Drosophila melanogaster: one gene and its partners. The protein of the gene in region 2 interacts with the protein of the main gene of each other region in a pairwise test. Each region holds a gene or a part of one and is shown on either strand. Other genes may lie near its edges.

Region 1 (8,365 bases), on a different chromosome or scaffold from region 2:
TGTGTACTAATCGGCGGTCAAAATGGGTTTGTAATTTCGTTCGTTCGAATTGATTTAACTTTTAATTTCTGAACAATGCTATGTACTACGGTTGGTCTATTACTGTTTGGGTTATTTATTCGTGTTTTTTGGCTGCTTTGTTTTTAATTGCTGTGATTAAAATGCCAAAACACAGTTGTTGTTCAAGTCGTAGTTTTACTTTTTTTTTGTTTTGTGTGTTGGGGGTGGTGAATAGACTAGAAGTCGGCGAAGAAAAGTGAAAAATCAATTAGGAACAGGTGTTTGCCCTGAATTTTGTAGTTACTGTTGCTGTTGTTCTTGTTCGATGCCCTAAAAGGGCAGTCGGTTTTGTCCATATCAAATGTAAATAAAATCAAATTAAACAAAACTCATTTTTGTGACGCAGCTGCTGCGGCAACAACAACGAAAACAACGAGGATGATGGTGATGAGCAGCAGCAACAACAACAACAACAAATAGCTACGACGAAGTTTCCCATACAACAACGCACTGCATGGAAATGAAATCATCGGTGATTTTTTCGTAGAATTCCAGTGTTTATACCTAGAATTTTATACAGCACGACTGTCCACATTTACTACTTACACTTTGCACTTAATTTTGCTACGTTTTGTTTGTTTTATTTACATAAAATCAGTGTAAATAGTTATGCTCGTAAAAATTTACCACTACTCCAAAAACGCACAAGCCAACCCTGGCTTGGGTTGCCAGTGTTGGCCAATAGATGGGCATTTGCCGTTTCCAGCCCTGGTCAACAGTTGTTATTTGAAATTTAATCAACATATAAAGTTTTACTCGGCTTTTTTTTGCGTTTACGTAGTTTTCTTATATATTCCAAATCATATTTCTCTAATGGACGTGCTGTGAACGTTATCGATTTGTTGGCCGGCGCATCGTTGCTGGTATCGTCCGAAATATGAAACTCAGAGTCGGAACTATCTTCAATTATTTGAGCTGAGCTTAGTGTTAAATCACGAGTGGAGCTGGGAGTTTGTGGCAGTGCTGCAACATTTTCGCCAACTACGCGCATGGGCAGCGCATGATAATGATATGATACATTTCGACAGGATTTGCGGCGTAGTTTGTGTTTTCTGCTTGTTTCAAAGTCACTTGAACTTGTGGACGTGTTATCGTCCCCACTATTTGAGCCTTCCCCGCTTACAGAATCCTTATTGTCAATTTTATTGGAGTTTTTCGTGATTTTAGACATATTTGTTTTAAGCCGCGCTGGATTGTTTTGGTTCCAAAAATGAACAATTTTTCGCTGATCTGTTTCTGGTTCTTTACCAAGTACAACGATGTGGCAACTCCCTGGCAGGGCCGCAACTGAAAAATCTCAAACGGGACATCGTTGCCAGATAGCTAGCCAGAGTGTGGCCAGATCGCAGCGACTGCAGTGCATTTTCAACAAAAATAAGGTAAAATATAGCACAATTATGGCCAGCAATTGTTAAACAATTAACGCAATTGCCAGTATTATAACCAAATGTCAACTGTGTGAGTGCGACAATCGAGCTCGCGTGGGCGTTGCACATGCAGCATCATCGAATTGATTAATTGCGGCGCATGCCGAAAAGTGAAAAAAGGGAGGATGTGTTTCAATCAACGCGAGTGAAAACCGCGACGAACGAAGAAAAAAAAAACCAAACTACTGCGGCAATCGTGAACAAAGAGCTCGTTGCGTCCGAAATTATGTGGCACAGCAACTAAACTATTGGATTTCCCACTCATTTTCCAGTTGAAATCAACGCGTTGCAGCAGCCCCCGCAGCAACAGCAACAACAAAACAAAGGCAACTGGAAGTGCAGCCTAACGGGAATTGCTCCAGCATATAGAGATTATAGTCCACACATATAAATATCCATTTATCGGAAGATAGTCCACAATGGCGGATCCAGAGCGACAAAGCCTGATCAACAAGGACGACGGCAATGGCTACAATTCCGTGGACGCCGTGGACGAGGGTGCCGATAATCCCGGCAGCAACTCATCGGTGGCCACAAACGAGGACGGTGCGTATCGTTACTGTAAAGCCGGGCATTCAACCCGCATCCAATCAGCCGGGCGGGCAACCCATTGGAAGCCCAACAAGTGTGCGGGCGCTCCACTTATCCGGATCCAACGCCGTGATTCCGAGTTGTCTGCTCGCCGTCTCATTTGGCATTTTCACACTTCACCCAACTGAGTCATAAATGCGTGTGGTTTGGTGCGGGGGGAGAGCAATGGGACTGCACAGAAAGAAAAACTGATAGGATATGTGGTGCCCAAATGCCATTTTAAATTATCTGCCATTTTTTTATTTTTTAATAGGGCCCAGTATTATTGGTATTACCAAAAATTTACAACCTAATATAAAATTTTCTTATTGGCCTAAATATCAAATGGGCCACGTACACCATAAAAAAAATGTAATTTTATCACGAAATTGTGAAGAGCTGCCAAAAATGTAAAGATCGATTGTAGTTAGTTACTCGACGCCGGTATCGGCAAAATTTTTGCACCGCCTTTGTTATTGTTTATGCTAGGACGCTCGTAATCAGCGCAAAAAGCGTTCCCCACAGCTGTTTAATCAGCATCGATTCGGAGGTGTTGCTATAGTGGTGGTTAAGCGGGGGCAGTCAATGAGTCCATGAGTCATCATGTCATTCGCTGCCTTATCGCAATACAGGGCGAAAATGAGGGTCTGCGATGAGCAGTGGTTCCATTGTTTACCAAGGAACCTGATCTTCAGCTCGGAAAAAGCTTGTCCATATCATTAATATATACAAGAGTTTAGTTACAAGGGCTTTACGACTTTCCATGTTCCCAATTAATTTGCATAGGTTATCTTTCTGTATTCCTTTCTTTTTGACATTATATATTTATTTAGCCAAAGTAATATGACTTTATTTGCAATTTATCCACTTCATATCAATTTTCCTAAAGAGTGTGTGCGATGTTACTCTTTGCGTTGTTTTCATTTAAAAACGTCTTTCACAAAGTTCGAACTTGTTTTGATCGAGAGACGAGAACCACAACTGCGGTCTAGTTGCACTAGTTTAATGCTTGTACGAGAAAGCTGCATTCATAACGCCAAAACATTGACCCATTTGGTTTATCGCAGCTTCCCAGAGCCACACACTGCACACTATCAGAAAATGCAGTTCTCACTCCCTCCATGAGCCAATCACCGCCAGATGAGCAGTGTGGTTGAGCGAACTCTGCTGGCGAGATGTATTTATTCTACACCAAAGGTCTCGCCTTTGAAGGGCATGGGTCTTAACAATATTATAAGTAGTTAATAATACTTTGCAATGGAATTTTAGGCAATGGAGCACCGACCGCAGTGCCTTGCATTGGACCCGATGAGCTGCCGCCGCCGTATCAGCAGAGTACCAACACCGGAGGCGTCCCGATGGTCACCTGTCGGGTATGTCAACACATGATTGACATCACCACGAAGCGGGAGCAGCACGTGGTCAAGTGCACCCACTGCAATGAGGCTACTGTGAGTAATTCTAAGCAGATTCTTTGAATCCAATTGTAACTTAATACGCTTTTGGCTATCAACAGCCCATTCGGAACGCTCCAGCGGGCAAGAAGTATGTTCGCTGCCCATGCAACTGTTTGTTAATCTGCAAGAGCTCGTCGCAGCGAATCGCTTGTCCAAGGCCCAATTGCAAGAGGATCATCAACCTGGCCCCAAGTCCCGTCACCCCGCCCGTGCCAACCATGCCGGGCATGTGCCGCGTCACTTGTGGCCACTGTTCGGACACGTTTTTGGTGAGTTATTAATCCAAATCACAGCAGCAGGAGTCTTGTAACGCTTGCTCTTACAGTTCAACACGTATCACAACGCCTTGGCCCGGTGTCCACACTGCAGGAAGGTCTCATCGGTGGGCTCGCGCTTTGCCAACAGCCGCGCCGTGATGTTCGCCATCGTGGCGCTGGTGTTCCTCATCACAGGCATCGCTGTAACTATCGGCACATACTCGATTGCTTCGGTAAGCCAAATCAATTTAAAATCAAGCTGAAGTATGTGATTTTCTAAACCCATATGTGTGTTTCCTTTTGCATTTTTCCAGGATCATGGTGGCATGTACTTCCTCTACGTGGCGCTGTTCGTGATTTCGGGTTGCATGCTGGCCAGGTCCGCCTACTATTTCCGCCTTAAAGTGAGCGCCATCGATGGGCCAATGTAAAGCTAAAGCACGGGGCCAGTAGCAAGGAAGAAAGTGCATTGTTTTATTTTTATATATATATATTATTCATATATATCATTCCTTTTGATATTAAATTTAAAACTAAACACAAGCAGCCAATTTGCAGACGGAACATATGAACATTTCTCCAGCAGTTCAGCTACATACAAAAATTCTTCGTTTCGAGCAAAACTAATAGCAAACCTAGCTAAATTTACGAAAGAAGGTCTCCCCGTTGAAGAGCATAATTAGGATATTAAGGCCGTAACTAACTAAACACTATACTAAAAGCGAATATTTCAAGGGTCGCCGTGCAGCTACCATTCAAGTGCTAAAAGTAAAAAAGGAAAACCCCGATCTGTGTTGGCAGTCATTAGTTATTAGACCAGCGACCGATCAATCCACAGTGCATCTCATTTTTAGAATCGTCAGGATCCATTTTAAAGATTGTACAGTTTCGTTGTTTAAGTGTCCGATTTGTTATCCGTTCGTGCCTGTCCTGCAAGATATTTCGGTATTCATACATTACGTATTCGTTGATACGCTTTTGAGTTTTGTGTTGCCTAAAATTTAACCAATGCACTTTTTCTCAGTTCTCGCCAAAGCGGAGGAAAGCGTTTTGTTGCCTGGCGTTAGAAACAATTTGAAGGGTATGCTAATAGTGCTAATGAAGGTACATACACATACGCGCATATACAATACCATAAATACATAATTATAATGCAAATAAACAAAGCAACATTTCTTGAACAACAGAGAACAAGCAAACGCTCATGCAGATATAAAGAAAATTAATTTAGACAGCAACTGCTAAACTGCGAAATTGCATATATATATATGATTAAAAGGAACGGTTTACTTTTGAAATATATATATATATATACAACAACATTTATATTTAGTACATTATAAATTAGCATACATACACTGTAAATAAAAAGAAATAAAACCACAAGCACCACCAACTTTTTGGCGACAAAATGACAAGGCTATGAAAGTAGAATAGAGTGCCTTGAACTTGACATCGGACATCGGCTGGGATTTTCGATTTCGATTACATTTTTAAAGTTTTTAAGTTCCTTGGCCAAGATGTCATCATTGGCTCCTTGCTTTACTGTGGGCTCTATTGTGCGCTGCAAGACTTGTTTTGGCGACAACATTTCGGGCGAGGTAAAACTAAATATTATTTATTATTTTTATGATTATGTAATGCTTTCAATTTCCCAGGTTGTGGCCTTCGATCTGGGCGTGAAAATGCTGATAATGAAGTGTCCATCAAGCAATGGCGGTGGCGACGAACAGACCACTTGCAATGTGACCATTGTGAACCTATCCCTGTGCATGGACATTGAAATAGTAAAGGAAGCAATTCCGCCGGCTGAAGTTCAACAGCCAGAACCGATTGATTTGCCCATGGTAGAAGCACTCTCTATATAGATATTTAAAAGAAACCCCATTCAACCATTTGCAATTGCAGATCCGAGAACGATACCGATACGCAACCGAACATCGTACGCTCTCCTGCCGGAGCTATCATCCCAATGCCTCGCCCTTTGGTCAAGCTCTGTTCAGACTGTTAGTCAAGCGATTCGGTGATCCCGCTATCATCTGGCAGAACAAAGGCGACCAAGTGGCGATCAATATACTCCGTCAGGTGGTCATCGATGCGCCGTATGCCACGGAGAATATCCGATACCTCGATTGGAATCCCAAGCTGGCGATATGCGTCCAAGAGGTCGTTCAAAACTTTTGCAGTAAACAATTCTAGAACGATGGCCCGTGCCCATGGCAACAGTTGTCTAGATAGCATCCGATTCTCTGTACGTTTTGTTTATCAACAAAACAATTCAAAATACACATACATATAGCCATGACACCCACACAGAATACTGCTCTTTATCTGCCAGGGGAAACCATTCTCGTTTGTACAAATTCGATTTAATACACTACACCACAACACCCAACACACATAATACACGATGGCCGATGATGAAGATAAACCAAAGAAGCACACGCTGGACAGCCTGTTCTTGGTGTATTCCAACTTCCAGGTATGATGAATGACCCGGTTAATTGAAGAGTAATTTTCATCTAAATGATGCCAGGTCATACCCACCGACATCGAGAACGAGTACTTTGACAGCATACTCCTCTCGCAGTTGGACGCCTGGCTAGAGCAGGCCAAGCTCATGCCCAATCCCATAACTCGAACTCAGACCGGTTTAATATACATGCGATACAAGTGAGTAACTACATCAAATCTACATATCATTCTTAATCAAATACATGTTTCAGGAAATGGCGTTTGGAGTACGAAGACTTTCTCGAGGTCCTAAATAACTTGGCATCCGATAACAATCTGGCTATAGATGAAATGAAGCAAATAATGATCGATGCTGGCGTCCCGAATGGTGCTGATGTAGTTATAGTCGTCAAGTAGATTGAATCATCACTGCATTTTATTTATATGCATACAAAAAGTCGGACAACAAATTATTAATAGTAACAATTGCATACAAGAGTAACTTTGATTAATTCACAAAAATTATAGTAAAATATAAAAGCATCCAACAAAAAGAGCCTCTAAACCCGATTGGTTAATTTCAGTTAGTTAAACACTTATTTTGACATAGAGGGTGCCTAATTAAGGTATGTTTTGAGATTACTGATCTGAAAACTAAATACAAAATATATGCGTATTACATTTTTTGATGTGATTCAATAAATTGACTGATATTCTGAAATTCTGCTTAAGCTTATAAATATTCGATGAGTTGGTTGGCTTGTTCGCTTCGCGTTACTTTCCTGATAATAATAACAACGTTTGTTTGGGTAACAGAGTTTGGCTGGACTTATTTCTAGCACCTGGGCAAATATGTGGACTGCTCGGAGCTAACGATGTTACAAAAATACATGCTTATTCATTCCGTATATCTAATAAATATTGTCGATGCGTTCTAATGGCTTTCCGAGCGTCTCATAGCGATTGTAAGGTAATAATGCACTGTTTGTACTAGTAAATTTCCGGCTCTTGACGAGGTGCATGGAGTGGATTTGCTATTGATGCTTGCTCTTAGTCATCCCTCCAGTTGCGCAGCATGGTAAAAAAAAATCTATAGCGTTAATTTTTTGAATTGTGTATGCGGGATTTATACTGTTTACCGTGCATACTCGTAGCAACCTCGTGCCGTTCCAAGGCCACTCCAATTTCGCCACATGATTTGTATTTCCGGATATGGTCATATAGATAAGATTCTCTTGTTGGCTCAGTGAGTGTATCTCTTTGCATCGCCGGATCGCATTGTCATGGATTTGTGTGTTGGCTTTCTCATTTGAATGCATGAATAATATGATGCACAGGTAGATTAAGTATACGTCGCACTTAGGATTAGATTAGTAGCAATTGCAAGTAATTTAAGAGTAAATTGTTCGCTCCAGCCAGTCGTCCAAGTTGAAGAAGGCCGTGTCCGAATTGTCCGTGTCCCGTTCGCGGAACATCTCGATGAATGTTCTAACCTTGATGGCACACATCAGGAAATCGTCGAATGGTATTTGTCCCTCCCGCGATCCGTAGCGATGGGCCAGGGCGTTCAGGAGCCGGTTGTTCAGATGATAGCCAGCCGAATTGAGTGCTCCGCGCAGATGGAATCCATCAATACTGCCAGTGCGACGGGTGTCATATAGCTTAAAGACCGCCCGCCACTTGGCAATATCGGTAAGCAGAGCTTCGAACTCCTCGAAACCAAGGCGACCGGAGCGATCCTTGTCCAGCATGGCTACCATCGAACGCACGGCATCCTTGGAGAAGCCATCACTGCCCACCATAACATCGCGCATAGAGTGGTCCAGGATGCGCTTCAGCTCCTGCCAGTCGACTTCCTCATCGCTGCCAGCCACGCTGTCGAACAGACGACGCAGTGCAATGCGCTGCGGATCATCCTCCTCCTTTGGAGTCGGTGGCGGCAGAGACGGAGCAATGCGATCGTCGGTCTCGCCAAAGCCAACCTCATCGTCGTTCTCCTCCATATTGTTCCTTGTCTCCGAGAAGACGCGAATAATGAACTCGCCCTCCTCATTCGGATCGAAGGTCGATGGAACAATCAGGTAGTGGCCAGGTGGCAACTTAAACCGGGCGCAAACCTCGCGCGTGTTGATAAAATGTG
Region 2 (7,219 bases):
GCACAACTTTCATTGTGGCGATTTCCCAGTGCCTGTTTTCAGCTTTCTATTTGGGGCAAGGTAGTTTCCGCCTCGTTTTTTGTGTTTTTTTTTTTTTTGTTTTGCCTTTCACAAAAGCTGCGAGCAAACTACAAACACAAAAGCATGCGGTAACTGCGGGCTAGAAAAACGAATCAAAAGCAGTGGAAAACAGCTGGTTTTGCTTGAAAGTTGTTTGGATTAGATTCGGGCGAGTAAACCATCTGTGTTTTGAGAGCGACTAATGCATAACACAAAGTTGCGTAAGTTTTTAGGTCACCCATGAGGTATATACTTAGATGCGAGGAAAGTTCCCCGAAGAGCCACAACTTCCGCTTCTTTATTTTTAAATTTAATATTTGTAAATGATTGTATGATGAGCCTATAAATACCAATTCGGATATTTAACTATATAAATAGGTACAGCTTGAATAATAACTTAGCATAATAGAGCACTTAAATAGAATACATAATTTGATACGCCCTACGAAAACATACCCACTGATACCCTGCACTGAGGTATTCGGTTATAGGCGTGATTCTGATAAGCTGGCATTGAGCGTACACATATACATATACATATGTGTACGTATGTTTTTCCACGAACAAGTATATTTATATTTATATACAGTTGTGCTCAACATAGAAACAACGCAGAAACTTAAAACCTCCTCCTTTGGTGAAATGCAGCTATTTAACTTTATATTACATAATTTGGAATTTTTGTCAAAATTACTATGGTTATATTGTTATTATTGGTGGGCAAAGCTGTATAAATTTACATATGTATACGTATGTATATATATTTTCAGTGAACCGCTGATTACTTGTTGTTGCGCAGCCAGCTGAGCGCGTGAAGCTTTTGGTGCCAGCACAGCAACAAAACGAAAATAATTATTTCATTTCGAGGGTATTGACAAACAGGTTGCAGGCAGCGAAGCTTCCTTCGTTTGGAAGCCAACGAAATACACCAAACAGTGCACGGTACTCATTAGTCAGTGCATGACTAATGCAAAGGTCAAACGAAAAGCAGCTGTGAAAATTCACCTACCCTCGCCGGCTTTTGTGGGGATATACTATTAAGTCTATTGTTCAGATGTGCGATTTAATTCGTTTATTTTGTAAAAAACAAGAAAACCATGAGGTTAAGATGGTAATTAAACCCAAAATGTTGCTACTAAAGGCAAAATAACTAATTTTAAGCCTATAAAGTCAATTGTTTCAGCTGGAAGTTCACACTCGTATCCAATAGATATATTATACGCATTTGGATACGTTCAACCTCGCATTTTTTTTCTGTGCACACCCACACACTCTCTTTTCTTTGTGACTCACCTCTGCCTGCTGCTGATTTCTTGTTGCGTCGCGGCATGTTGCTGTTGTTTTTGCGTCGTTCAGGTATTTTGCTGTTTGAACTCGACGACGACGTTTTGGTTTCTATTGTTTAGCCTACTGTTTCAAACACAAGGTACGAAACACAAAAAAAACAGATGCTTTGTAGCCGAGTGTCCTTTTCCTGTTCTGGGTCCTCAAAAGGTGGAGAACAGGCGTCGAAGTCTACACAACGGCGAAAATGTCTACACTTTCGTTGCTTTGGCGGCAACTACTGAAACGCACGTGTTGGTTCCGATTTATTGATTTTGATGCTCTAGGTTAGGAAATTAAATTGCGTTCTTGAGCCGAGCTGTCAATTTTTTAATCTTTGTCTTTCTAACCCGAAACGTTGCCGATCAGGACGCACCTATGCAAAAACTTTGGTGCTTCCAATTTTTGGCAATTCTACACGACTGTCTTTGCCGTTTGCAATTGTTCAACTCCGATCGCGATTTTTGCGGCCGTATCTTATATATAGTCTGCTGATTCTGATGGCTCTGCTGCTTGGCGTTGATAATACAAAAATGTCGTACTCCCGTCGACGTTGCAGCAAATTTCATGTTTAATTGCAATGCGTTCACTTTTCTCCGCGCTGGCAGACACTCCCACTCCGCCCTCGGTTCGCAGTTATTGTGAAATCGAATCGAATGCGCTGTCTTTCGATCTCTGGTGCTTCGATTTTGCTATTTCCGATTCGGCCAGTGAAGGCGCTTCGCGGACTTTACGTTGGCAGCTTTCGGAAAGCTCTAAAAATAATGCAAATAATTAAGCACTTAATTCGATTGCTGATTTTTACGAAATGAAAAAGTGAGTGACCGTATGCGCGAACGTTGGAAAATACCATGAATAGCGGTATATTCAATGGAAGATGGAAGTCTGCGCTCATGCGATAGTTGACTTTCGATAAAGCCTATACCTATAATTATACTATACCTATACTATACCTATTATACCCTACTATACCTATATTTACCTATAATTAAATGTGGCTGGAAATAAATAAAACTAAATAATCTTACTTTATAAATTCATTGATTGGTCCTATGCTTTTCCGCAAAATACTAATTTATAATTTTATTTATGGACAATAAAAACTTCTTATTTTTGTTTAAATCGCGATATTCGCGCTCACAAAAATATCATCTCCACTCTGCACCTGTATCGATACTTTCGTTGCAGCCCTGCGCCACCCGCACACATGCACACCTACACACTCACACGTACGCGCTCAGCGATTTGCAGAGAGAGTTTTCGGGTTTTTGTTTAGTTTTATTTGATTGCAACTCGATTGGAACGACAGCGGTTGGCGCAGCACACAACAATTCCTCAGCGAGGTCGATAAGAACGGGGGCCAAACTAAGAAAAAGCTCCAGCCGACTCGATTCGATTCGAAGCTCAGAAGATTGGACTTCAGAACTCGAACTTTGGCACCACAGCAGCGCATCCACGAACGTCGCACCCAAAAATTCATGAATGCCCAGCAGCGGATTTGGACTCGGATTCGGAATCGGAATCAATAGCGAACGACAACAACAAAAGGGGGAGCCGAAAGTGGGGTTTGCAACACCGCGGATTGCACACAATAATTAGGTAATTTGTAAGCGACGTTCACCTGGACAAGGTGAACTTGGCACCGCCTCTATATGGCAGCCTTCGTACCTGTGTATCTTATCGATCGAGTGCCCTGGCTAATCGCGGGATAATCTTGCAGGTATGGCGGCGATTGAGGAGCGTTTCCAGGCGGCAGTCAATGTGATAAAGGGTCTGCCCAAAAATGGCCCCTACCAGCCCAGCACCAGCATGATGCTCAAGTTCTACGGGCTGTTCAAACAGGCCACCGAGGGTAGACCAGATGTGGACAAGAAGCCCGGCTTTTGGGACATCGTAGGCAAGGCCAAGTGGCAGGCATGGAACGATAACCGTCACTTGACCAAGGAGGAGGCGATGCAGCGCTATGTGGAGAGCCTGCAGGAGATCATTGAGACCATGTCGTTCACGGAGAATGTGCAGAACTTTGTGGGCAGCCTCGATAGTCTGGGAAACATCAGCCTGGACGAACTGGAGCTGGTCTCGCCCGGCATGAAGGAGCTGGCCGAGTCGCATCCCAACTCGCCGTTCCACTCGCGCACCAACAGTCCCCAGCACGGCTCCAGTTGTAATGGCGAACCGGAGCCGGAACCTCAGGCGACTAGCACCGCACCGCTGGCCACATCCGAAACGATTAAGGAGAATGGCCATAGTTCGCCGCCACTGACCAATGGCTATGGACCTAAGCCAACAGCAAGCTACACACAACATGACACGCACAACTTTACGAGCAACAGCAGCGTGGCCATCGTGGATCCCTCGGACGATGAGTACGACGATCCCTACGATCTCAGCCACGAGCTGACCCAGGCGATTGGCCAGAACACGGACCTGCTGCGTCAAATCCAGGCTGCTATCACACGGATGAACAGCGATGTGGGCGCAGTGCAGCAGCGCGTTCGCAGCCTGGAGCAGTCGCTCAACGAACTTCGCAGCGGCCAAAAGGCAGCGAAAGGAACGGTGGCGCAGCCACGATCACTGCCCGCCTGGTGGCCCTTCAGGAACATCTCCCCGCTCTGGTTTGCCGTCCTCATCCTGTGGCCTTTCCTGGTGAGGCGGTTCGCGCGGATGCTTCAGTCCAATCCGCAGCGCAGGCACTGACGCAGGAAAGCTATACTTGCGGAGGGCGGAACATGTGGTAGTTAAATTGTAAGTACAACGCAACTAGACAAAGGCATATGTTACCATTCCCACTTTATATTTGAGACGTATTCCCGCAGTCAAGAGAATTTAAGAGCATAGGGAACCTGTTTCGTAGCGAAAGCTTTTACATCATACATTATTTTGTACATATTTGCATTTCATTAACATATTCAAGGTAACGATCTCTATGCGAACTCAGATTGTGGAATATATCTTGTGAGTATTTGGGCAAGGGAAAGTGCTCAAGCATCCACTGTTTAAACTAATTATCAGTAACATGTGTTTCCAATTATTAGTTTAAATGAATGGTCACTATTACAAATAACTTTATACTGTTTGTGCCACCAAAATTAATCCAATGTAAACATTTTCCTTTCAGTTATCTTCGGTTACGGGCACGAGCTTGGTCTTTAGCTTTCTTCTATCCTAGAAAGCGCTTCAGTTATTGTACAGAGTTGGCCTTATTTATACCTTACTTACCCCCATGGTTATCCAGTTGCAATATCTCTACCCCCTTTTGTACACGTCTATATATGTATATTGAATGTATATTTATTTCGTACACACAAATCGCGACCTTTTTGTCACATTCCCCATCTGATTTAGTTCGTAAGTCGAATGTTTTGGCAATTTTGTCCAGCAGAAGGCGAGTTTTAGCCACCTGAAAGCGCCGATCTACTGAAAATACGGTTGTAAGCGTATACTTTATTGTGCATTATTTGTTGTTAATTATAATTTTTGTAATAAAGCAAAAAAAAAGTGAGAGCGCACGCTTGTCATCCATTAGGGCTGTGGAGTGATCCGCAGGTAACTCTTTCCGGAGGGCAGCTCAATGGTTTCGATACCATCAGGAAAGAGCTTAGGAACATCTTCGGCTTTGACGGTGGGCAAGACCATGCACTTGCCGCCCTGTTTCCAATCCGCCGGCGTCGCGACACTCTTTGTTTGGGTCAACTGGAGCGAGTCGATCACTCGAAGGATTTCACTGCAAAGGATATAGTTAAATGTAATTTGTCGGATTAATTGACCTTGAAATCGTTCCTATTTAACTTCCATTATTATATGCAAGGTTAGTACTTAGTTTTCAGCAATAATACTTCATTAAATAATTATCTGCTAATGCGATTAAGTGCACGATTGTTTGCTAAAGTGCATTACAGCATTACTTTATAGATAATGATGAATGCTAGATATTGGAATACCCACTCAAAGTTGCGCCCAGTGGTGGCAGGATACAGGATGGACAGGCGAAGCTTCTTCTTGTCGTCCACCACGAAAACGGCGCGACAGGTGAGGGGAATGCCCTCGGCATTGATCTCGTCCTTGTCCAGCATATTAAACTTGAGCGCCAGTTCCCTTTTGTCGTCCGCAATGATGGGATAGTCAAAGGAGCTCAGCTCTGCGAACAGAAACGCCAATTAGAAGCGATTCCTGTCCAGAAATCAGTGACCAAACCCACTGCCAAAGCTCTTGATGTCCTCGATCCAACCCTTGTGCGACTCCACGGTGTCGCAGGACAGTGCAATTGGCTTGACTCCACGCTTTTGGAATTCCGGAATCAATGCCGCCACCCGGGACAATTCCGTGGTGCAAACCGGCGTAAAATCCGCCGGATGGGAGAACAGAATGGCCCAGCTGTCCTGCATCCAGTCGTAGAAATCGATTCGACCCTCGCTGGTCTCAGCCGTGAAGTTTGGGAACTGATCGCCAATGTTTAAAGCCTTTCCGGACATGGTGGATATTTGAAAAAATCAAGAGACGAATTACGAGCTTTTTGGATAAATGCGAAACAAAATTTGCCGCAAAATGCAAATCAGCTGACTGGGCTAGGGTGCCCGTTACCTTTATAAGCTCAGCTCGACCAGGGATGCAAATATAAAAAGAACTAGTTTTCGTATGAAGATGTTAAAAAGAAGGCTCATTGTGTGCATTCATTTTGCAATCATTTCCTTTAAGTGTTTTAAATCTAAAGTATTTTCTTTGACACAAGCAAACGAGTGTTTCGTATATTTTCGAATTTATGAGCTCAAAAAGTGAACCAGTGAACCGAACCACTTACACGTGCTTGCATCCCTGGCCATTACTCATACACACGCACACTATATCACACATACGCGCAGTGTAAACACAAAAAAAGCTGAGAATTTCTTGCATTTATTTGTTTAAATTGAGCAAAGAGGATATAACCATGACAGAACTGAGCATCACTGGCCAGCAGGTGATGCCCCCGCCCGCATGCACACCACCGGAGCCCTTCCGCATCACAACGAACGCCCCGCACCAGATGAACGATGCCAGTTTGACGCCGGGACGCAGGAAGCTCCAGAAGTGGCTGGGTCGAGTTCTTCGGATCGTGATTACGGACGGACGCGTGCTGGTGGGATTCTTCAACTGCACGGACCGCGACGCCAACATCGTGCTGTCCATGTGCGCCGAGTACTTGGTGGAGGGCCAGGAGCCGCGCCTGCTGGGCAACGTCATGGTTCCCGGCCAGCACATAGTCTCCCTAAGCATCGACGAGCCGGATCCGCAGTCCAGCCTGCTGGTGCAATAGTGTGCATGTGTTTTGAATAAAATAAACTAGCTATTTGAAATTTAAGTACGTTTAATTTTTATTTTTGGATGGGGTTATAGTAAACCCCTCCACACTACGCCCCTGCGTCGATCAGCTGTTTGATAAGCCACTGCCGCGTTGCCAACCATCGCGCAGATGAATCAGCTGTGCTCGATTGGATTCACTGAGTTATTTGTTTGCTCGCAGCACTATTCCTGCCAATTAATAGAGTTAATCAAGCGAAACAGCGCGCCGAAGAGGATCTGCCAGCCACCCGATACTCATTCAATTGAGCCCAATCAGCGATGGACTTCACGACCTTCGTAAAGCCCTCAAATGGCGGTGGCGACAGCGGCGGTGGTGGTGATGCGGATGGCGGCGGCCAGAAGCTGCAGTTCTGGAAGCATGTGGAGTACATCGAGAACCATGGGAAGCAGGAGGACGACTACGAGTACTGCATGACCGAGTTTCTGCGCATGTCGGGCATCTATTGGGGCACCACTGCCCTGGACATTATGGGCCAGCTGGAGCGATTGGAGCGCA
Region 3 (8,110 bases), on a different chromosome or scaffold from region 2:
CGAGGACTCCCATGCCCTGCACTCCTCGCTGGGGGGCAGTAATCGAAATAGTCTGGAAAAGGATGACGACGACATCGAGGTGGATGTGATCAGCACAGACGTTAGCTGTTACGATCAACTGCTCGGCAGCAGTTGCAACACGCGGAACGGCGATGATGACGACATAGCCACGCTGGTCGGCGATGGCGACTATTCCACCACGAAACTCAGCAAGGCATCCAGATTATCCGGCGCTGGAGTCGGCGGACTAGTGGTCAGCGGGGGAGGAGGTGGAACTGCAATCGGCGGTGGAATCGCTGTTAACGGTGGTGGTGTTTTGGGAAATGGTGTTGGTTCCGAGGCTGGCGGCGGCATCATCTATGCCAATCCGTTTATGGGTTTGTAGATACTTACGCAAATCCCGAGGAGTGGATCCAGGTGCATTTCATGGGCAAAACAATATATTTGTAAATATATGTCATTTGTGTAGTTAAATTGAAAGTTTTCACCGTGAAACGCACTATGGCCACATTCCGTAGATGTTTTGTATATTTCCTGATTGTTTTTATTTACCTGCATGATTACTTGTTACTTTCATTTATTGTATGCCACCTTTATGGTTTTCTAACCCCGTGCATGTGCTAAGCTTTTGCTTTGTACTCATCGTACAATTCTAACCGTGCCATTTTGACTCTCTTTCAGATGACGAGGGCATTGCAGAGTCGGGCATGTAAAGCCATTCCAAAACCCAATACTCCAGCCAATCCAAGCCAGCCAGCCAGCCAACCAAGCAACTGAACTCAACTCAACCGAATGGAAACCCAACCCAACCCAACAGAACCCAACCATCTTGTGGCAACTACATTATTATTTACTTAAGGGACGAAGTGCGAAGAGAGCGCGGAGGAGGATCAACGCTTGATATTATACTTGGATATATGTGTACTACACTGGATACTACTGGATATATATATATATATATACTCTACACCGCGATCTATCGAATGGGAATGCAGCAATCTCGCCAAACAGAACGAACACGCATCAATTTATACATTTTATATATATATAAAGATATATATATCTAAGATAACGAGGAATCGGCGTACAATGTAACCGCAATTGCCGCTTCAAACCGACGGCAATACTAAATACTGGAATACTGATTGTATTTTTACGCTAGCCACAATTTGATATAAACTATATATCTTCCAATTTTTTTGTACACCTAATGTTAGTTGAAATATGTGAGCGAGACGAGCAAATTTTTGTAGCAAACTAAAAGCGCTAAATGTTTACTTTTTTATATTATTATATATATAAATACTTGATAAACATATACCTAATATTAGATCTAAACTAAACTAACTATAAATCGCACACACTCATACACTCACACAAAAACACAATGCAATAATTGAGTTACATAGTTTTAAACAAATGTTAAAACATTTTGCTGCAACCGTCGGAGATGTAGTGTACAATTTTTAGTTTCTCGTATTATTTTTTTTTTTATGTCTGTTTTGTGTTTAAATTTTTTGTAACTTTTTACAAAGCGTAAACTGTGTATGTATGTGCTACATTGATTTTTGTTTAATTATATCAAGTTTTTATTTAAAAAATCGAACACCACCTTGCATTCTCCTCATTTGAACGTGGCGCTCACACTTATTACTTATATAGGTCAAATACAGCGGGCTCTGGTGATCAATCCAATCAGCAGAAAGTAATGAAAAACACCGAAGTTAATGTTTAAACATAAACACACAATGAGAAAAGAGTCGTGTTTCCATATTCACTTGATTTAATCGGCATGCGATGTTACTCACAGCGAAAGGAAATTCAGCAAGCTTGAATCGATAAAATTGTTGTATATATTAAATAGTTTAACACTGTGTAATTTTATTTATCCTAGCTCGATTCTAAGTGCTTGCGTAAATGATCATTTAAATTTTCTAACCCGAAAGAACTTATTTATTGGTTTATTTATACAAAATTGAAATGAAGTGCATATGGAAACACAACTCAAAAACAGACAGCACAAATAGAACAACAGGAACAAATGACCAACGCATTTCGAAAGGCGATAATCATTTACACGAAAAACCAATATAATTAAACAGAATCCCACGCAAACTGAAGACTAACTAACAACCAAGTTAAGGGCTAGTTAATGGAGCCGGTGCCAAAGCAAAAAAGGAAAAATGATAACAACACCTACACACACGACAACTAAATGTAACAATAGCAATACATTTTAATGAAAATTGTAGTCCAAATAATTTGCATACATTTGTATTTTGTCCAAACTTAGTTGAAATGATTAACCGAACTGTGAAAGAGTGCAATAGAAATCGTTTTGCTTCTAGATTAGTGAAAAATACAACGAAGCCCCTAATTTGAATACGAAGCAACCCAAAATCCCCGCCCTCCCGTAATAACAATAAATACATATGCATAATTATGCAAAAGTTTGAGAAGATGAAACTAGAAAGTCTGTATAATGCATACATAATATACGACTCCATTATACACACACACACGCATACTAAGGCCGATGAATAACATATGCATATACAATATAGACATATATTAAATATATATCATTGTAATAATTTGTAATGTTTATCAGTAGAATTATGATCCGAGGTGGAGCAGACGAGTAAAACGCATGCAGAGATCCATTAAAGTGTACTGTAAAATGTGCCACACATTGTTTTATCTAAATTTATTAAAGGATTTATTATTTTGCAGAGGGTAAGTTCTAAAACTTAAAAACTAGTCCTGTTTGGAAGATCCTAATCATTGCAACGTTTTATAAATCAAAGCCGAACTCTTACTCTAGTAAAAATTTGGCTACGTTCGGAAAATTAGCCAGAACATAGGAAAAACCCTACTGAATTAAACAAAAAAAAACGTGTTTAACATTTGGCTACGATCGTGTTAGTATTGCATACTTTTAGGTCCATCTTTTTGCACAGAGTTTTGTGTGAATCAACAATAAAATTGGCACTGGAATTGGTCGATGGCGTCCCACTACTGATTGCCAGGCGCCGTTGCTCCTGTAGTCTTCATGGCCAGCATGGCGTCCAGTTCGCCCTGGATGCTCTCGAACTGATTGTACAGTTCCATTAGTTCCGGTTGTGTCATTTCGATGTTGATATCCTCGCCGACGGCCGTTTTCATTTGGAGCACGGCCAGCGGGGTCTTCTCCCGCTGCTGGCAATGCGAGGAGATCTCCATGTTGAGCTTCCAGGCCACATCTTCGATGACATTTGATTCGTACCGCTTGCTGGCCAAATTGTTCATAATGGGCGTCGTTTCGCGCACCCACAAACGCAATATGGCATCGATCTTGGCCTCATCCTCCAGCTGGAGTTTCTCGCGCAGCTCACGCTGCAGCAAACTTGGCTTGATGATAAACGTGGAGATGCGACGCAGGATGTAGGAGAAGGTCTTGATCAGCAGCAGGAAGTCCTGACGCGGTACGCCCACCAATCGCTCCAGTTCCTCGAGTGTGTACTCCGGTTCGGTGTTACTTGTGGGGTTCTCCTCGGTGCTGCTGTCCACCCGGCCGGTGGTCGTCACACTGGTGCCCACTGTACTACTGGTGGCACTCGCCGATGCTACGCTGGGACTCATCTGCCGGTGGGTGTAGAACAGAACCGTCGTAAAGGTCTCGTAGGGCAAGGCATTGATGATTTTGATGCCCTCACGGGCTCTAAGATATAAATGCAAGAAATTAATCTCTATAAGAACATTGATATTACATACCTTTCCGTGATCTTTATCCAGTTAATGCTCATTGTGAGATATATTTAAAAATTTTTAAGGAACATAGAGTTATTAAGTCTTTACCAGCACTTCTTTTATTATGACTTTAATATTATTTGTTTATACAGACCAACAATATACAAAAAACTATCGACTTGCCACGGTGCGGTGCTGCCACACAGTTACTACTGCCAATAATAACGGTAAGTGCTGACTAAAATACAAAAATATTACATTTTGCGATGTGATTTTAAACATATTCTTTATTAATTTTTTAGATTTAAATGTTTTATTAAATTAATTTATTTTTCTGTATTTAGGCCTGAATAATTTACCTTATAAAATTACAATGTTTTAAATAATATTTGCTGTTATGTTTCCTGCAAAATAAAATTCGTGAAAAAAAGCCGCACCAGCAAATATCAATACCAGATTGTCGACGGCACCGACGATCGACGATTCAATTTGTAGAAGATTATCAAGTACGAATAGTTTTCCAACTCATTAATATAATCGTCCTACCTGGCAACTCCGCTGATGCCTATCGATGCTCCGCTCGATAGCGCCAACAATCGATAAGCAGTATTTGTGTATTGGAAACGCGGCTTAACTTAATGCAGATTTTTCCGCTGATTCGGCTGCGAAAGATGCACTTTTAAGGCGCAGCGAGTGCACCCACGCCCCGAGTTCGAGTGCAGTTGCAGTCGGGAAAGCTTGACAAGTGCGCGGAGCAAGGAGAGCGACGAGTTCGTTGAGCTACAGCGAAACGGAAAAGTGTAAAAGCGGGGTAAACAGGCGCAGCGGAGCGGATGATAAACGGAACTCGGGATCGGAAAATTGGAAGCAAAACCAACCACCGATTATAAAAAATAGTCAGCATCTTAAAAGTAAGGATTTCAAGCTAAGGTTTCAGCGAAAGCCCGAGAAAAACAAAAACCCCAACTAAACTAACGGAACAGTGCGTCGGGATATATGCATGTGTATGTGGTATACGTATGTGTGTCTTTGGCTGCGTGCGATTGTATTGTTCCTGTGTAAATAAACAAAACCCGGCTCTTTAGTCTTCCACTAGTTCGTTTCGCGTTTCTCTGCGAGGAATTTTTGTTGAAAAAACTCAATTTGGCATAGCATAACTTCCAGTTTATTTCCCTATTCTGCAAACTGTGTGTATCAGTGTGCTGGTGCTTCCAGCATGCCGTAAAAATCGATAGCGCGTCGTCGGTTGTTTATTTTATGCTTCGTCTGCATTTTGCAGCCCCTTTTTATCGCTCTCCCCTTTTCAGCCACCCTTGCACACACTCACACTCTCTCCGGCGGAGTCGTGTGATGCATACACACACACACACACAGACACATGCATACGCCTGATACGGGAAATTAAAAATAATACTTTTTATCGCGGCATGCAAAAGGCAAAGCTGCAAAAACAGAAACAATTCCAATTCCAACAGCAATAATCTAGCCATGCAATCAATTTTAGCCAAACAATAAAAAGAATCGTTTGGTTTCAGTTTCCCCGCTTTTCTTTTCCGTTATTTTCCTCTCTATATTCGGTTTTATCGCATTTTCCGCTCATTATGGCAGTTTAGCATATTTATGCTGGAAAAATATTGGGGTTTCTTCGCTTCTTACCTTTGTTTTACGTTTTGTTTTGCTGTCGGGCTGTAAAAACAGCAGTTAATCCAATTAAGAAAAATAAAACTCTAAATGCCATCGCCACCACGAATTCGAAATCACCTTTTATCTACTCAAAAGATATTCATCTTATTTATTTTCCAAGATAAATGTTAAATTATAAATATATTATAGAACCATACACTTGTTGAAATAGAATTTCTGCTAACAGCTGCGAGTTTTACAGTCATAACTATTATTATTATTTATTAACTTAGATTTCTACAGGCTGCGATTTTATAAAAATGATTCAATTTTTTATCTAGACTTTGTTATTAAAATTTCTACATAAGCAGAAAATAATTGCTGCAATGACAAATATTTCATTTTCAGCTTGTGTTTATCGTAGCTTATTTTTTGTTAAATGTATATTAAAGTATTTACTCCCCTTCTCATGTAATATACATATATTGAAAAAACAGTACTTTTGTCTATTAGAATATATTTATACCCTCACTTATTGGTTCATCTCGAAAACTGGTCGAGTAAACTGAGAATCTTGAGATAGTTTCTTGAATTGGATATAATTTGCATGGTTGGCCAATCTTTTGGGTCGGCTATGCCCGCCTCTTTGCTTCGTAGAGGAGCTTGGGCACCGGGCACTTGCAATTGGCACCAGCTTCGGGCCAGTCAGTCCGCCAGACTTGGTCTTTGGGTCGAGATGTAGAGCTGGATAGTGTGCCACACTATATAGGGGATACTACTGCGATACAGACACCGCGGACACGGCTGACATGCATTAATGCTGCGAATAATGCCTATTGCAGACGGGGATAATGGAGTCACAGAAGCGGCCTTCGTTGGACTTACACACGGATGTGCCAGCAGGATTAGCAGCTGGAGGATCTGGCCTGGGAGCTGCAGCTGAGATGTCGCCCACTTCCGGTTTCCTGCCGGACATGCCGCAGTGGAAGAAGGACCTCATCCAGCGCCGGAAAACGAACGTGGCCCGCACCCAGGCGGCGTCCATCACCTCGCCCACCGATGGCAGTTGTGGGGCTTTGGCAGAAGCCAACGCAGCTCCAGGTGCAATTGCAGGTGAGTGGTGGTTGGACAAACTGGAATACTTTCACCTGACACGCAAATTAAAGGTATTTTCAAGCCAAGCATTTCTGTCAAGGCATGTTAGGTGCAAGTATTCGTATTTCTAATCGCTATTTCTTGCATTCTTGACAAACGAAATAATTGCACTTACTTTTGAGCTCCATACTTATCCCTTTTAAATGATACCGTTCGGTACTTAAAATAAATTCAACGAACTATAGACTTCGGAAAGGTTTTTAAAATATTTAAAAACTGCCGTAGCAAATAGTAATCAGGGTGAAATATATTGACTGGAAAAATGCGAAAGACTAATTGTGACTTACACAATCTGCAATTGCTCAGTTGGCGTTAACCAGCCATGAGTAATGGTAACAAGTGTTTTTAATTCATTTTGCCAACTTTTACGATTTCCAATACCAGTATACTTTTAAATTAGCCGCCTTACATATTCGCTTATCGATACGATATTCGCTTATCGATAGCTCACAGAGTTGTCAGATTGCGGACGAATAAGATAAAAAAAACCAAGTTATGTTTTAATGTTCTGTCTTTATAACATTTGTATTTGCTTTCTTTCTTCAATTTTTTTTCTAACAGATTTCACAGAACCGGCGACAATCAGTAGCACTAGTCAAAAGAGAAACATGATCGGTTCAGAGGAAAAGTCTGAGAAATCTTCTATTTCCAATACCAATTCCGATTCCACTGGAGGTCATCACTCTGTTGTTGCCGTCTCCCTTTCGCCCGATGCGGCAGCAACAACAAATGTAACAGTAACACCAATACCAAAGCAGCGATCGAGTTTACTCAACACAAGAAGTCAGGAGAGGGAGATGGTGCGATATATTCTAAGCGAGAGTGGAGAACGGGATGGAGAGCTTGAGAGCGGCGAACAGCCGGCTGGTGTGGTGAGTAACAGCCGGTGCGGTGAAGTTGAAACTGGCACAATTGGATCGCCGTCGTCGTCAGCAAATCAAAATCCAAACCCAAATCATTTAAAAACGAAATGCAAACCGGGACAGAGCGTTGCTGAGGGCAAGCCTTCAGCTAAAGAGACCATCGTCGATAACAGCAAAAGCTGCAGCAAAACCAAGAGTATTTCCGATAAATTGCAGAGCAACAAGTTTATAATTCAACAGCAGCAGCAACAACAACAACAACAGCAGCAACAACAGCAACTGTCGCCCACAAAGGTAACGGTAAAACCGACAATGGTCGCCATGCAAGAGATGAAGAAGACAACCAAACAAAATGGCCAGCACCGACATCTAGCGGGCAAAATTGGCAGCGTAGCAGGAGGCGATGTGGATCCACAACATCCACCGACGAATCCCATACCAGATTCATTGGACACCGGTGAGGATCTGAGCTACGGACCCGGAATTGTGTCCAAGCTGCGATGCCGCTACTTGAGCCTGGCCCTTCGCGAGTCCCGCCAGCAGAGCAGCAAACAACGCCTCCAACGCTCCACCAGTCTGAACACCCTGCTCGACCGCGACGATGACGAGGTGGAAGTGGAGGAGCCCGAAATGACCAACAGCCAGGTGCGTGCCAAATCAACACCGCCACCGATATTGGGGGCAAAACCGACACCGAAACCCAGCAGCCAGCATCAGCGTCCCGTCAGTCTGGGCGCCAA

The links.
Region 1: the proteins of Sbat (region 2) and Hez interact in a two-hybrid assay, tested with the Drosophila melanogaster proteins (one study listed by BioGRID).
Region 3: the proteins of Sbat (region 2) and Vlet interact in a two-hybrid assay, tested with the Drosophila melanogaster proteins (one study listed by BioGRID).

Annotation. Positions count from the first base shown.
Region 1 is NT_037436.4:9,891,597-9,899,961, reverse strand, and holds Hez (hezron), read left to right. Parts: upstream 1-5,218; 5' UTR 5,219-5,291; coding exon 5,292-5,372; intron 5,373-5,429; coding exon 5,430-5,618; intron 5,619-5,679; coding exon 5,680-5,970; 3' UTR 5,971-6,181; coding exon of another isoform or gene 6,182-6,253; intron 6,254-6,307; coding exon of another isoform or gene 6,308-6,444; intron 6,445-6,497; coding exon of another isoform or gene 6,498-6,642; 3' UTR 6,643-6,774; downstream 6,775-8,365. Other genes in the region: CG46387 (uncharacterized protein), read right to left, coding at 794-1,231; CG6707 (uncharacterized protein), read left to right, coding at 1,907-2,033, 3,327-3,508, 3,574-3,783, 3,840-4,004, 4,086-4,202; CG6709 (uncharacterized protein), read left to right, coding at 6,182-6,253, 6,308-6,444, 6,498-6,642; CalpB (Calpain-B), read right to left, coding at 7,617-8,365. UniProt on the Drosophila melanogaster protein: May have an accessory function in the survival motor neuron (SMN) complex.
Region 2 is NT_033779.5:2,872,283-2,879,501, forward strand, and holds Sbat (sabbat), read left to right. Parts: upstream 1-6,061; 5' UTR 6,062-6,310; coding exon 6,311-6,676; 3' UTR 6,677-6,719; downstream 6,720-7,219. Other genes in the region: Ifrd1 (Interferon-related developmental regulator 1), read right to left, coding at 1,354-1,390; CG8814 (uncharacterized protein), read left to right, coding at 3,106-4,080; Prx6a (peroxiredoxin 6a), read right to left, coding at 4,906-5,107, 5,329-5,521, 5,582-5,855; RabGGTb (Rab geranylgeranyltransferase subunit beta), read left to right, coding at 6,982-7,219. UniProt on the Drosophila melanogaster protein: Auxiliary component of the N-terminal acetyltransferase C (NatC) complex which catalyzes acetylation of N-terminal methionine residues. May have an accessory function in the survival motor neuron (SMN) complex.
Region 3 is NC_004354.4:11,674,650-11,682,759, forward strand, and holds Vlet (valette), read right to left. Parts: upstream 3,903-8,110; 5' UTR 3,786-3,902; coding exon 3,754-3,785; exon of another isoform or gene 3,701-3,753; coding exon 3,016-3,700; 3' UTR 2,695-3,015; downstream 1-2,694. Other genes in the region: bif (bifocal), read left to right, coding at 6,204-6,465, 7,069-8,110. UniProt on the Drosophila melanogaster protein: Scaffold protein in the commander complex that is essential for endosomal recycling of transmembrane cargos; the commander complex is composed of the CCC subcomplex and the retriever subcomplex.